Xenopus tropicalis: one gene and its partners. The protein of the gene in region 1 interacts with the protein of each later gene in a biochemical or structural test. Links are inferred from orthologs where the notes say so. Each region holds a gene or a part of one and is shown in the gene's direction. Other genes may lie near its edges.

Evidence for each region.
Region 2: the proteins of nrip1 (region 1) and rxra form a complex in vitro, tested with the Homo sapiens proteins (2 studies listed by BioGRID). The link is inferred for Xenopus tropicalis from reciprocal best matches to the Homo sapiens genes NRIP1 and RXRA.
Region 3: the proteins of nrip1 (region 1) and thra form a complex in vitro, tested with the Homo sapiens proteins (4 studies listed by BioGRID). The link is inferred for Xenopus tropicalis from reciprocal best matches to the Homo sapiens genes NRIP1 and THRA.

The regions. Positions count from the first base shown.
Region 1 is NC_030678.2:26,792,948-26,796,592, reverse strand, and holds part of nrip1 (nuclear receptor-interacting protein 1), read left to right. Parts: coding exon 1-3,254; 3' UTR 3,255-3,645. UniProt on the Homo sapiens protein: Modulates transcriptional activation by steroid receptors such as NR3C1, NR3C2 and ESR1. Also modulates transcriptional repression by nuclear hormone receptors.
Region 2 is NC_030684.2:8,063,520-8,067,801, reverse strand, and holds the start of rxra (retinoic acid receptor RXR-alpha), read left to right. Parts: upstream 1-1,404; 5' UTR 1,405-1,717; coding exon 1,718-1,745; intron 1,746-4,282. UniProt on the Homo sapiens protein: Receptor for retinoic acid that acts as a transcription factor.
Region 3 is NC_030686.2:9,187,774-9,192,025, reverse strand, and holds the start of thra (thyroid hormone receptor alpha), read left to right. Parts: upstream 1-1,374; 5' UTR 1,375-1,776; intron 1,777-4,252.

The DNA.
Region 1 (3,645 bases):
GAAATATATTTTCCAATTGTGAAAGTAATGCCCCAATTCGCAACAACAGCAGCCCTTGTCAGGGATCTGGAATGCTGCATCTCAAAAAGGCAAGGCTGTTGCAGTCTTCAGAGGACTGGAATGCTGCAAAGAGGAGACGACTGTCGGATTCTGTTCCTGGCGTAAATGGCAAAAATGAAACGTTCTTGGCCGGCATGGTTGCAAACGCACCCAAAGGCAAGCAGGATAGTACATTACTGGCGTCTCTGCTTCAGTCTTTCAGCTCTAGACTCCAGAGCGTCGCTCTGTCACAACAACTTAAACAGAGTCTCGAAGAACAAGGCTTTTCTCTTGGCCAGGAGACTGTACACGAGGAGAAGAATAACCAGTGTTTGGGCCTGGCATCCAACCACCTTAAAACTTTGTTAAACAAAAGCAGATCAAAAGAGAAAGTAACAGATAGTAAAATGACTGCTAAAGCCTCAATTCAAGAAAAATCTTCACACTCTGGGCAAAGCAGCACGAAAGCAGGAGCTGCTGAGCCGATTTCATGCGCTGCAAGACTTCAGGCTGTTGCAAGTATGGTAGAGAAGAGGTCGAGTCCTACTGTCTCGCCTAAACCAAGTGTTGCATGTAGCCAGTTGGCATTGCTGCTTTCTAGCGAGGCTCACTTGCAACAATACTCCAGAGAGCATGCTGTAAAAGCACAAAGTGCTAGTCAGTTAGCAAGCGAAAGGCTAGCAGCAATGGCAAGATTAAAAGAGACCTCAGAGAAGGACCATGGTCATTTTCCTATGTCGACAAATTTGCCCACACCACTCAACAGCCCTGCAAGAACAACTATTTCCAATGGTATAAGTAATATTGGTAACATTTCTCCCTTTTCAAGTCCATTAAGTGTCCCTCATTCTCCACTTAAATCAGTAGGATATAAGACTCATTCAGAAAAAAATCACCTGAAGCCCTCTCCAAATAACAGCTTGCTGCTACATCTTCTTAAAAGCCAGAACGCTACAAATATGAACAAATGCAACCTTCAAAGCGAAAAGATTCCCGTGTTTGAAGAAAGTGCAACACCAACAACCACAGATGACTTTTCTGACAACAACCCTAGTTTTACAGAAGATGAAACCAGCGATGATGAAAGTAGTCACTCTAACTGTGCACCCATTGACTTGTCATTCAAAAACCGAGTAGATAAGCCAGAGGTGTTAAATACGGCTTCCATAGACAACTTAACAGAATCCTTGCTTAAAAACTGGGATCCAAAAGTTGAAGGACTTGTCATCAACAAAGATAATAACAGAGACCCTTCATTGGACTCCACGTTAAAACCACATCAGAAGGTGACCCTGTTACAGTTACTACTTGGGCATAAGGCAGATGAAAATCCCGAAAAGATGGAAGATCTTCAGGGTTCACAGAAACGTTCTGATCTGACAAAGTTCAACTTGCCAATTCAACGACATGGATCTGAAAACACTCATGTACATAATTCTGCTTCATTAAATACATTACCTATAAACAATAGTTTGAAATCGGATTCCCCTGTTAACCTGAGCCAGCCTTTTCCACCAAAAAATACGTTCACATCTTACATAAGTAACATTCAGTCAGAAAGACATGTGAATGCGGCCTCAAAACATTTGATAGAGCTGACGAGGAACAAATCATTTCATAACCCCACCCCAGTAGTAAACGAGAGTGCACAATGTAATGCTGCTTTCAGTGCCAGTAAACTTCTACAGAATTTAGCTCAATGCGGGCTGCAAACAGCTGCACCCGATGAGCAAAAAGTGCAAAAAACAGTCAGTGCACCTAATGGTAAAACTCTAGGACTGATCGACAGGTTAAGTAGCCCCCTGATTACCAATCAATCTCATGCCTTTGAGGAGGACACATCTTTTAGTAGCCCACCTACTCCATCAGACTCCAGATTTCCTGGCTCAGAGATTGAAAACCTTTTAGAAAGACGTACTGTTTTACAGCTTCTTCTCGGAACACCAAATAAGGGGAAACTTGAAAAGAGTCCAAATATCACAATCAAAGATGAAAATCAACAAGACAGGGTAGAAAAAAATGCAAGTGAACACATAGTATCTTTTAAAATCAAAAGCGAGCCTGAGGACGCCTACAGCACACAGCATTTAAGAGACACTGGAATTCCTAGTCCACTGGCAATGTCTTTTCATGGTTTTTCCAGATCAACTCCAGAGGGCATGAAATCTCCAAACCTCACTCCACAGGATTTTTCCGTTTCCAGAAATGGGCTACTAAGCCGCTTGCTTACACAGAACCACAATGGGTATGAAATTAGTGACCCAGATTTTACCAACAGAAATGGTGAATCCAGACAAACAGAAACAAAAATCCACTGCACTGTTCCAAAAAAGAGAAAAATGCACCAACATGAGCCTTTAGAAAGTCAAGTAAAACTAGCAAAACTCAGTCCTTCTGAAAGTGGGCACTATTATTCTCCACCGCCATTGAGTGGGCCAATGTTTCTTCAGGATGAAACATATAGTAACAAAAGTGGCATGGACCCTCGGTGCAATTTAACTCAGAACTCCTTAAACGAAGGAAAACATTTGGGTTGGTCAAGGGAAAGCAAAGGTTTTAATGTGCTGAAACAATTGTTACTTTCAGAGAATTGTGTCAGAGATTTGTCTCAGCATAGGAATAACATATTGGTGGATGATATGGTAAAGGGGAACAGAAGTCACCTTGCTGGCAGTTCTGATTTTGTAACACCTCCATTAAATGTGCATATGGGGAAAATGTCCAACCAAACAAACAGTTTAGGTCAAATGACATTTCAGTGTCCATCCACTTTAAAGAATTCTCCTCACCCACCTTCAGACAGTTTGATACATAAAACATCTCGGACTGAATCTGGACAAATCAATATGTGCCCTGTTCCTAATGACAAAGGCCCAATTAAATGGGTTATCACAGGTATGGAAAAGAATGATGTTGGAAAGGATTCCCCAAGGTTGACCAAAACCAACCCAATATTGTACTACATGCTGCAGAAAGGAGCACATTCTGCTGGAGGCCAGGAGCTGCGAGATCGAGGCAGTTGGACTGCGTCCTTACTAGGCAATGCCACAGAAATGACATTAAAAAGAGAGATGGTCAATTGTAGAGGAACCACCCCAAACGGCAGTGGTATGATGAAAACAACCACTCCTGTTGTAAATAAGACATTGCATAATTCCAGTGGTAACAAGTATGGACTTCTTGATATACTGGCAATTAAGAAAGAGCCTGAATAATACAACAGATTTGAATAGCCAGGTTGTTAATAAACCCAAAAAGAATGCATCATTTTTAGAGTATCAGGCATGAAGACAAGAGATATAAAGCATGATCTTCTTGACATGTTTTTCATCTCATATATTTTGGTTGGTTATATTGCTTGTGGCTATAGCTTATTTGAAAAATGTACAGATTTTGCTATTATGGTTTCTACATTTTTTTTGGTTCTGTGATATTTTTTTTTTTTCCTTTAGGGTATTTTATTCCCACTGCTTGGGAAAAAAATGATGTTATAAATTATAAAAGACAAATGTGCTGTTGATGGCTGGTTTCCAATATTTGCCTTACATGTTCGTCTTTTAATAGTTACACAATAACTTGTCCTATTGCAGACAATGAATTACAGCG
Region 2 (4,282 bases), on another chromosome or scaffold:
CCAGGGTAAGTGCCAATCAGTGTGAGTGCCAGTGTGAGTGCCAGTCAGTGCCAGTGTGAGTGCCAGTCAGTATGAGTGCCAGGCTGTGCCAGGGTAAGTGCCAGTCAGTGTGAGTGCCAGTGTAAGTGCCAGTCAGTATGAGTGCCAGGCTGTGCCAGTGTGAGTGCCAGTCAGTGTGAGTGCCAGGGTAAGTGCCAGTGTGAGTGCCAGTGTAAGTGCCAGTCAGTGTGAGTGCCACGGTAAGTGCCAGTGTGAGTGCCAGTCAGTGTGAGTGCCAGTCAGTGTGAGTGCCAGTCAGTGTGAGTGCCAGGGTAAGTGCCAGTGTGAGTGCCAGTGTAAGTGCCAGTCAGTGTGAGTGCCAGGGTAAGTGCCAGTGTGAGTGCCAGTCAGTGTGAGTGCCAGGGTAAGTGCCAGTCAGTGTGAGTGCCAGTGTAAGTGCCAGTCAGTGTGAGTGCCAGGGTAAGTGCCAGTGTGAGTGCCAGTCAGTGTGAGTGCCAGGGTAAGTGCCAGTCAGTGTGAGTGCCAGTGTGAGTGCCAGTCAGTGTGAGTGCCAGGGTAAGTGCCAGTCAGTGTGAGTGCCAGTCAGTGTGAGTGCCAGGGTAAGTGCCAGTCAGTGTGAGTGCCAGGGTAAGTGCCAGTCAGTGTGAGTGCCAGTCAGTGTGAGTGTCAGTGTGGGTGCCAGTCAGTGTGAGTGTCAGTGTGGGTGCCAGTCAGTGTGAGTGTCAATGTGAGTGCCAGTATGAGTGTCAGTGTGAGTGCCAGGGTAAGTGCCAGTCAGTGTGAGTGCCAGGGTAAGTGCCAGTCAGTGTGAGTGCCAGTCAGTGTGAGTGTCAGTGTGGGTGCCAGTCAGTGTGAGTGTCAATGTGAGTGCCAGTATGAGTGTCAGTGTGAGTGCCAGGGTAAGTGCCAGTCAGTGTGAGTGCCAGGGTAAGTGCCAGGGTAAGTGCCAGTGTGAGTGCCAGTCAGTGTGAGTGCCAGGGTAAGTGCCAGTCAGTGTGAGTGCCAGTGTGGGTGCCAATCAGTGTGAGTGTCAGTGTGGGTGCCAGTCAGTGTGAGTGTCAATGTGAGTGCCAGTATGAGTGTCAGTGTGAGTGCCAGGGTAAGTGCCAGTCAGTGTGAGTGCCAGGGTAAGTGCCAGGGTAAGTGCCAGTGTGAGTGCCAGTCAGTGTGAGTGTCAGTCAGTGCCAGTGTGAGTGTCAGTCAGTGCCAGTGTGAGTGCCAGTCAGTGTGAGTGCCAGGGTAAGTGCCAGTCAGTGTGAGTGCCAGGGTAAGTGCCAGGGTAAGTGCCAGGCTGCTGGGCAATTAGCGAGTGGGAAAGAGTTCGGTGCGATTCTGTGGGTAGAGCCGCATTTCCCCTGAGCGCCCCTAGGGGGCCCCCGCTCCGCCTCTCTCCCCAGTCCCCGTATCCCGGCTCCCCCCTCTGCGCTGTGTCACTGGCGGAGGGCTCGGCCGTCGCTGCTCCCCTCGGCGGGGCCCCGTTGCATTGCAGCCTGAGGAGTTGGAGCGGGGAGGCAGGACAACTACTTTCCTTACATTGTTGGTGAGTTTGCAGCAAACTCCTCCGCCCGGGCCCCCGACCCCGCTGGATCCGACTCTCCCCGGGGCCCCCGGATCCCCTGCTCCCAGCCGGCCCATCGCTCTCCTGCACAGGATATCACTGCGGGGCCCCCCAGCCTCCTCTTCCCATCCCCAGGCGCTTGGCATGAGTTAGCCAGCCATGGACACCAAGCATTTCCTGCCGCTGGGTGAGTACTGGGTGCCAGGGTGCTGGGCTGTGGGTGGGGGGCACCTACTGCCGCATCTGTCTCTCTCCTGCTCATCCCACTGCCTCCCCTTGTGTTGTTGTTCCAGCCATTTAACCCCCACAATGCACTTGTAGAGTTCCATACCCCCCCCTTTGGCTGGTAGCCCCCCCAGCAGTGCCAAGCAGGTAGTGGGCACAAACACATGGGTACAAGTTATTGGGCAGCAATGCCAGGCTCCTTGCTCTTATGACTCCTGGGCTGCTGGGGCATGCTGGGAGTTGTAGTTTATAGCAGGTAGAAAAGTTCAGGGGGGGGGGTCCTGCCCTGTCACTACTACTACATAAAGTAGGAGGGGGCAGAGGGGAAATTGCTGCCCTCGGTGTTTATGATCCCGGGATGTATCGGTGTTATATAAGGGGGGGGTATTATACCGTAACTGTCCCTAAGGGCAACTTCCTATTGTATCAAGTGCCAGCGAATGGCTCTTAACCCCTTATCTGCCAAGGTGGCATCAGAGAGGTTAAACTATTCTTATGCAAATGGTAAAACTACCGTTCCCAGCATCCTCCTGTGGCCGGTTAATCAAAGGCTGTGCCACTCTTACTGCCAGGGGGGGGGGGGGGGGGGGGTAGCTGCACACCTTAGTAGACATGGCCCTCTGCTTTTAGACCCACTTCCCTGCCCCGAGCTGAGACGCACTGATTTATTTGATCGCAAGCATTTGGGACAAGGACCCATAATGCCTTCTGTGCCGTGACCCGTGAGTTCATTGGTGGAAGCTGAACCCTTAACCCTACTGATGCAGCCAAGGGCACGGAGCCATAATCTCCCCCCCCGTCAGTGCCCGTTTAGTGCCAACTCTGGGTCCTTCTGTGTTTCCGAGACATCGATTGAAGTATTTAATTAAATTCATGCCGACTGTACCGATTTCCGTTGCGCCATGCTGAATCTTACAGTCATAACCAAGTAGCCATGCTGATTGGATACTGCATACAGTATATGCTTATGGTTTTAAAGGGGGTCTGGCAGAGAGATTGCCCAAAAGGTGCCACTGGTGGCGGTTTCAATGGTGGTGGCGCTTGCCCGTTGGCAGGAAAATGCCCCTGATTGTGATTGATGGCACAATGTAAATACATACTGTTATTGCCTATGGGATAAGCCACACTGGTGGCACCACAACGCATGGGTATTCACACCGGTACTGTCTGTTTATTTAGTGACGGGCAATGCCAAGGGCACAAGTGACCTAATACCCCAGGACCCCTGCCCAGCGCAGCGGAGAATGAAATAAATAAAAGCTAAATTCCTTTGACGGGAAGGATCCGTGTCTCCCGTAAATAAAGTATTAATGCCCGCCGTTGGCACCAAGTCACTTCAGTTACCCGCAGCAACCAGTGTGCGGTTACCAGGCTGCTATTGGGAATGAACTGGGGGCAAACATTGCCCGACTGACTGTAATACCCCCCCTGTTGGCGCACCTGGTTCCCACGGGGTGCCAGTCGGTGCCCCCTCCTCGCCCTACAGTTTCCCACCAGATTTTCTCTTCTCCTTGAGAAGCTCTTGTCCCTCAAGTGTTTTGCTGGGCACCAGAATGACGTACAATTAATTAGCTTTGGGCCGGGTACCTTTGGGCTATAATTACACTGCCTAATTGGGGTGGGGGGTCACCGGTGCCCCAGCACTGATGGACACAGTAGGTGCCAGGGGTGGAGCCCTCCGTGTCTCCTGTTGGTGCTTTATTGGGACATTGGAGGGTACAGGTACCAGACTGGGCACTGGACTGGTTAAACAGGACCCTGTGCCAACCCAAGGCTCGGCGGGGCACAGGGCAGGAACAGGGGGGCGGGGCTAGTGCAGCTCCAGGGGGCAAGGTTCACGGGCAACTTGTTGTGCAGTAATTCCTACTGATAATGGTGCGGGGGATCCCATACAGAGCTCACCTACAGGTGCCCGGCGGGGTCATGTTTATATTATTACTTGCACCCCCCAGGGGCCCCGATAAAGCAATGGAGGCAGGGGCCACAGGAGCTTCATGTTTGATTGGTTCTGGCTTTGAGAAACAATGTAGCAGAAGTCAGTTCCCCCTCCTGGTCTGTCAGTCAGTTGCTTCTGCTACATTGTTTCAGTAGAAAGTAAACTGACAGTCAATAGCAATGACAGTTACACATAACTATAAACCCAGTGAGAATGAGGAATGAATGGGTATTGGGGAGTTGTATCAGGAGTCAGAACCAGCAGTGCAGGGAAGGGAAAGGGACAGACACAGTGACAGTTACACATAACTATAAACCCAGTGAGAATGAGGAATGAATGGATATTGGGGAGTTGTATCAGGAGTCAGAACCAGCAGTGCAGGGAAGGGAAAGGGACAGACACAGTGACAGTTACACATAACTATAAACCCAGTGAGAATGAGGAATGAATGGATATTGGGGAGTTGTATCAGGAGTCAGAACCAGCAGTGCAGGGAAGGGAAAGGGACAGACACAGTGACAGTTACACATAACTATAAACCCAGTGAGAATGAGGGATGAATG
Region 3 (4,252 bases), on another chromosome or scaffold:
AAGGGGTAATTATACCTTAGTTGGGATCAAGTACAGGTACTGTTTTATTATTACAGAGAAAAGGGAAATCCATTTTAAAAATGAGAATTATTTGCTTATAATGTAGTCTATGGGAGATGGCCTTTCCGTAATTCGGAACTTTCTGGATAACGGGTTTCCGGATAAGTGAGCTTCAGGGGGGCTCTCTTTGGCCACAAAAAGTGGGCGTGTCCACAAAAAGCTATGGGTGCCACAAATCCTCCCTCTCCTGCCCGTCCAGCCAAAAACATCTTCTGCTTCCCCTGACCTCTGGGTCTATGAAGTGGTAGATGACTGTGCCAACAGAGAGATTGTGTAAGATCCAACCACAGTTATTGTTTTGTGCAAAAAAAGTTCAGAATATGACTCAATGTGATTAACCCTTCATCCCACATTACAGCGAGGGCCCAGCTGAGAGAAAGAGATCCATGTAAAGGTGGCCATACATATCAGTCCCTTAGATGATTCGGCAGCTTATCGGCCCATGTAGGGGCACAAACGACGGGCCTGCCCAACCGACATCTGGCCTAAAATCGGGCAGATATCGATCGGGCAGATTGAAAAATTTAGTCGGATCAGGGACTGCATCAGCTCGTTGATGCGAACCGACTGTGCCTATTACCGACCAGGGTCGGACTGGGGCAAAATCCCGGTGGGCCCCGACCCTAGTGGGCCACAGCGGCCCAGTCCGACCTTTGCCAGCGCTCCCTGCTACTGACTGTTCCTCCCCAACACGTTCAATTTATACGTGCTCGGGGAGGACGTCAGGCGGGGGCCCTGTGGGGGGGTTAGGGGGGCCCCTGGGGGGGGGTTAGGGGACGCGGCTGGGGCACCTGCAGGGTCCCTGGGGCGGGAGCCCCGGTGGGCCCTGCACCCCCCAGTCCGACCCTGTTACCGACGTTGTAATTCAATTGTTTGGCCCAAGGGCCAAACAACCGACTTAGCCTAAATTTACCTGATATCGCCCACCTGTAGGTGGGGATATCGGGAGAAGATCCGCTCGCTTGGCGACCTCCCCAAGTGAGCGGATCTTAACGTGTATGGGGATCTTTAGTCCTCTACCAGGAGTTGCATCCTGCCAGACAGGCTGTGTGTTCTAAATAGGATATGTATACTTATTTTTGCCATTTGGAATTTGTGAGGTGTGTAATAAAGGACAGTATACAGAGACAGTTATGTCAGCAGGGGTCCCAGTTCTTCCTTCCAACTCCTTGAGAATCTTGTCCCCCAGGAGAAGCGAAAGGCCGTCAGTTCCCAATGCAGCCTGCAGGTGGTGTACGGCGGCAGCCTTGCCGCACTGGAAGGATATGATACACAGACACAGAGGGAGGAGCTGGGTAGAACTAGATTTTTTCCCCTTTCCTCTCTGTCTGTATCCCTGACACACGGAGGGAAGAGAAGAAAGAGAGACAAACAGCCAGGAAACGTACAGTAACACACAGGCGGGATCTATACAAAGCCAACACTTCATTGCTCCTTCCACTGATGATTTTTTTGTACCTTGGAGGGGGGGTAAAAGCCTTGGGATTTTGGGGGGGAAGCTGAAAAGGACGAGCCTGCCCCCCCACCTGTTTTTTTTTTTCACTAGCCACATTTCCCACTGTCTTCGCCCCCCCACTTTTTTTTTTCTTTGTAAGTTCTCTGTTCCCCTTTCCGGGCAGCAGCAGCAGCAGCAGTAGGAGCAGCAGGAGCAGCAAGAAGATCAGAGGAGGAAGGGGGGGGTTTAAAGCCCCTGGGCCGGGTCTTCAGTGCAAAGAGGTGAGTTATCTCTAGTGCAGAACTGTACTGGGGCGGGGGCGGTGCAACTACACTGCGATATTGGAGAACTCTGTGCCCTGATCGCATGCGATCTCCTATGTAAACACTTCTCTCCTGCTGTAGAGGCCCACAGTGCATTCTTGTGTACAAGAGACAGCATTGGGCTGCCTGCAAGGTGTGTGGGTTTGAGGGGGTGTTGGTTCTCTCTTGCACACTCATGATCAGCAGCTTTCTATGCAGGGGCTGCCATCTCAAACCCACTTTTCCCAGTGGGGGGTCCCCAGATAAGTATAAGAAGTATGCCTTAGGGTGAAGACACACAGAGCTACTTAGTAGCAGCTACTTGCCATGGCTGCTAAACTCCCCTGCCATAGACAATACTGAGAATTGACTCTGCTAAAACACACGTAGAGACAATTATCAGTAAATGATCACCATTGTCTGTAGTAGCTCTGTGTAAAGCATTAAACGTGTCTTTTTTAGGGGCCCCTGTAGCCCTTGATTCCATGACCAACTCTTTATAAGTGTACAGTATAAGTGTTGCATAAAAGTTAGGGAAGTGTTGAGATGACCCCCCCTGGGGGATAGTTAAGGTTAATTTAGAGGTGCCTGCCACCCCCCTTCCTCCTGATATGTTACACTCCAGAGGGTGCTTGTCATTATAAGATCCTATAAGCTTCTTTGCCTCCAGTAAGCACATGCGGCCTGTGTACATAGGGCGACTGAGATCTGCCCGGCAAGGTTGTCTAAGGCAGGCTGGCTAGGAAATGGTTAAGCTCCATGCCCGAGCTCTCACTCTTCTGACCTGCAATACGGATTCTTCCAGTCTATAAAACCCCTACAGGCACATGGAACTCTCTGGCAGCGTTCGGCATGGAAACAAACTGAATTACCCGTATACATGCAGCCAGATAATCATATTATATTCCAGTTTCACCTAAACCCAGAGGATTTTCCCTTAGCTACATGCATTGGCGCTTTCTGCCCTACTGACCCTTTATTGTGCACAAAGCGACACACATTGCATGTATGTACGATACACATGTGCGCACTGAGAAAAGATCAGTACAGTCATTTAAGCGTTAAAAAGTCATGCCCGATTATTGGCAGGGGCAGTGTGAAGGCTTTATTGTACACATGAAACCCGCCATGTCTTCCCTGTTGCCTAAATTCTGCACCACGCCTCCCCTTTTTTCCATCTCATGCCCTGAAGCGCTGAGATGCCTGAATGTGTTCTGTTTAACCCCCACCCTTCATTGTTGCTCCTACAGGAGAACATTCACTTCTTTCAATCACGTGAAAATATATTTCTGAAGGGGTTGGTTTTTTTTTTGCAGGCGGAAAAAAAAAGTGCTCCTAGGAGCAATGACAGGTTTCCTGGGATCCAGGCCCAGGCGCCACACGTAGGCCCTGCACTTGTGCACAGTGTGGAGTTTGGTGGATGTGTGGGCCGCTTTGTGTGGTCTCCTGTACTATCCCCTGACTAACCTCTCTGTCCCTGCACATGTTGTGTAGCGGTCTGATATCGGTCAGCGCCATTGTGCCCTTTATTTAGCACTGTATTTCTTTGTAATACAATTTCTCTCACACACAGTTGTGTGACGGGTGCAACAAAGTGCTGTGTAATCTACCCCCCCCCCCCCATACACCTTTATCAATCAGATCTTGCATAGCCTATAATGCTCAGTATTTACTCTCAGCTACAGTCATTGTGTTCTACATGCCCCCGGCTATTGCGTAGACATTCTTATACCCTGTGGAATTTTCTAGTATGGTGCAAAAGGCTATTTTGTGTGGTAAATGTTAGTTATTTGTAACTGTGGGTTCTTCGGGCACCTTGGTGCAGTGCCTGTAGCCATAGGTTTACGTTTGTGAAATGGCTCTCTCTTTGTTGCTGGCTCTGTGTGTAGGTCATTTTTAGTGCGTAGCTGTCTTTCTGAACCCATGGGTTAGTCCGTCCTGCAGGTGGCCTTTGAAGTGGTGCTGGCGCTCTGTCATGCAGGCAGCTGTCGTGATTTGTGCGTTGTGTTTAGAGAGTGGGGGTGTGTGGCTTGGAGAGACTGCTGCAAGGTCCCATGGCCGTCCCAAAAACTGAAGCGGAAATAAGCCTTATCTGTGGGTGTGTATAAGGCACTGGCTGCCATGTGTGTTTATGTGAGGAACTGACAGGCCTAAGGAAGCACAAGTTCTTCACTGACTAAAAGAGCACCCGGTGTGGGCACCGTGACGCGCTGAGACATACTTTGTGTGACAGTGACAGCCGCAAAGGCCTTTACGTGTGTGTGTGTGTGAAGCAGCTAAATGATTGGTGATAATAAATAGAAAGTTTGTGTGAATCAGAGTTAACTTTATGGGAATGGAAAAAGATGCTGAGAGCCTAGTGTTTACAGGCCAGGTAAGCCCTGACTAGCCTGTAGCCCAGAAGGGCCCTAGGAGGGTAAAGCTTGGGGTCCATAAAAGTCCTGAGTGGTATATG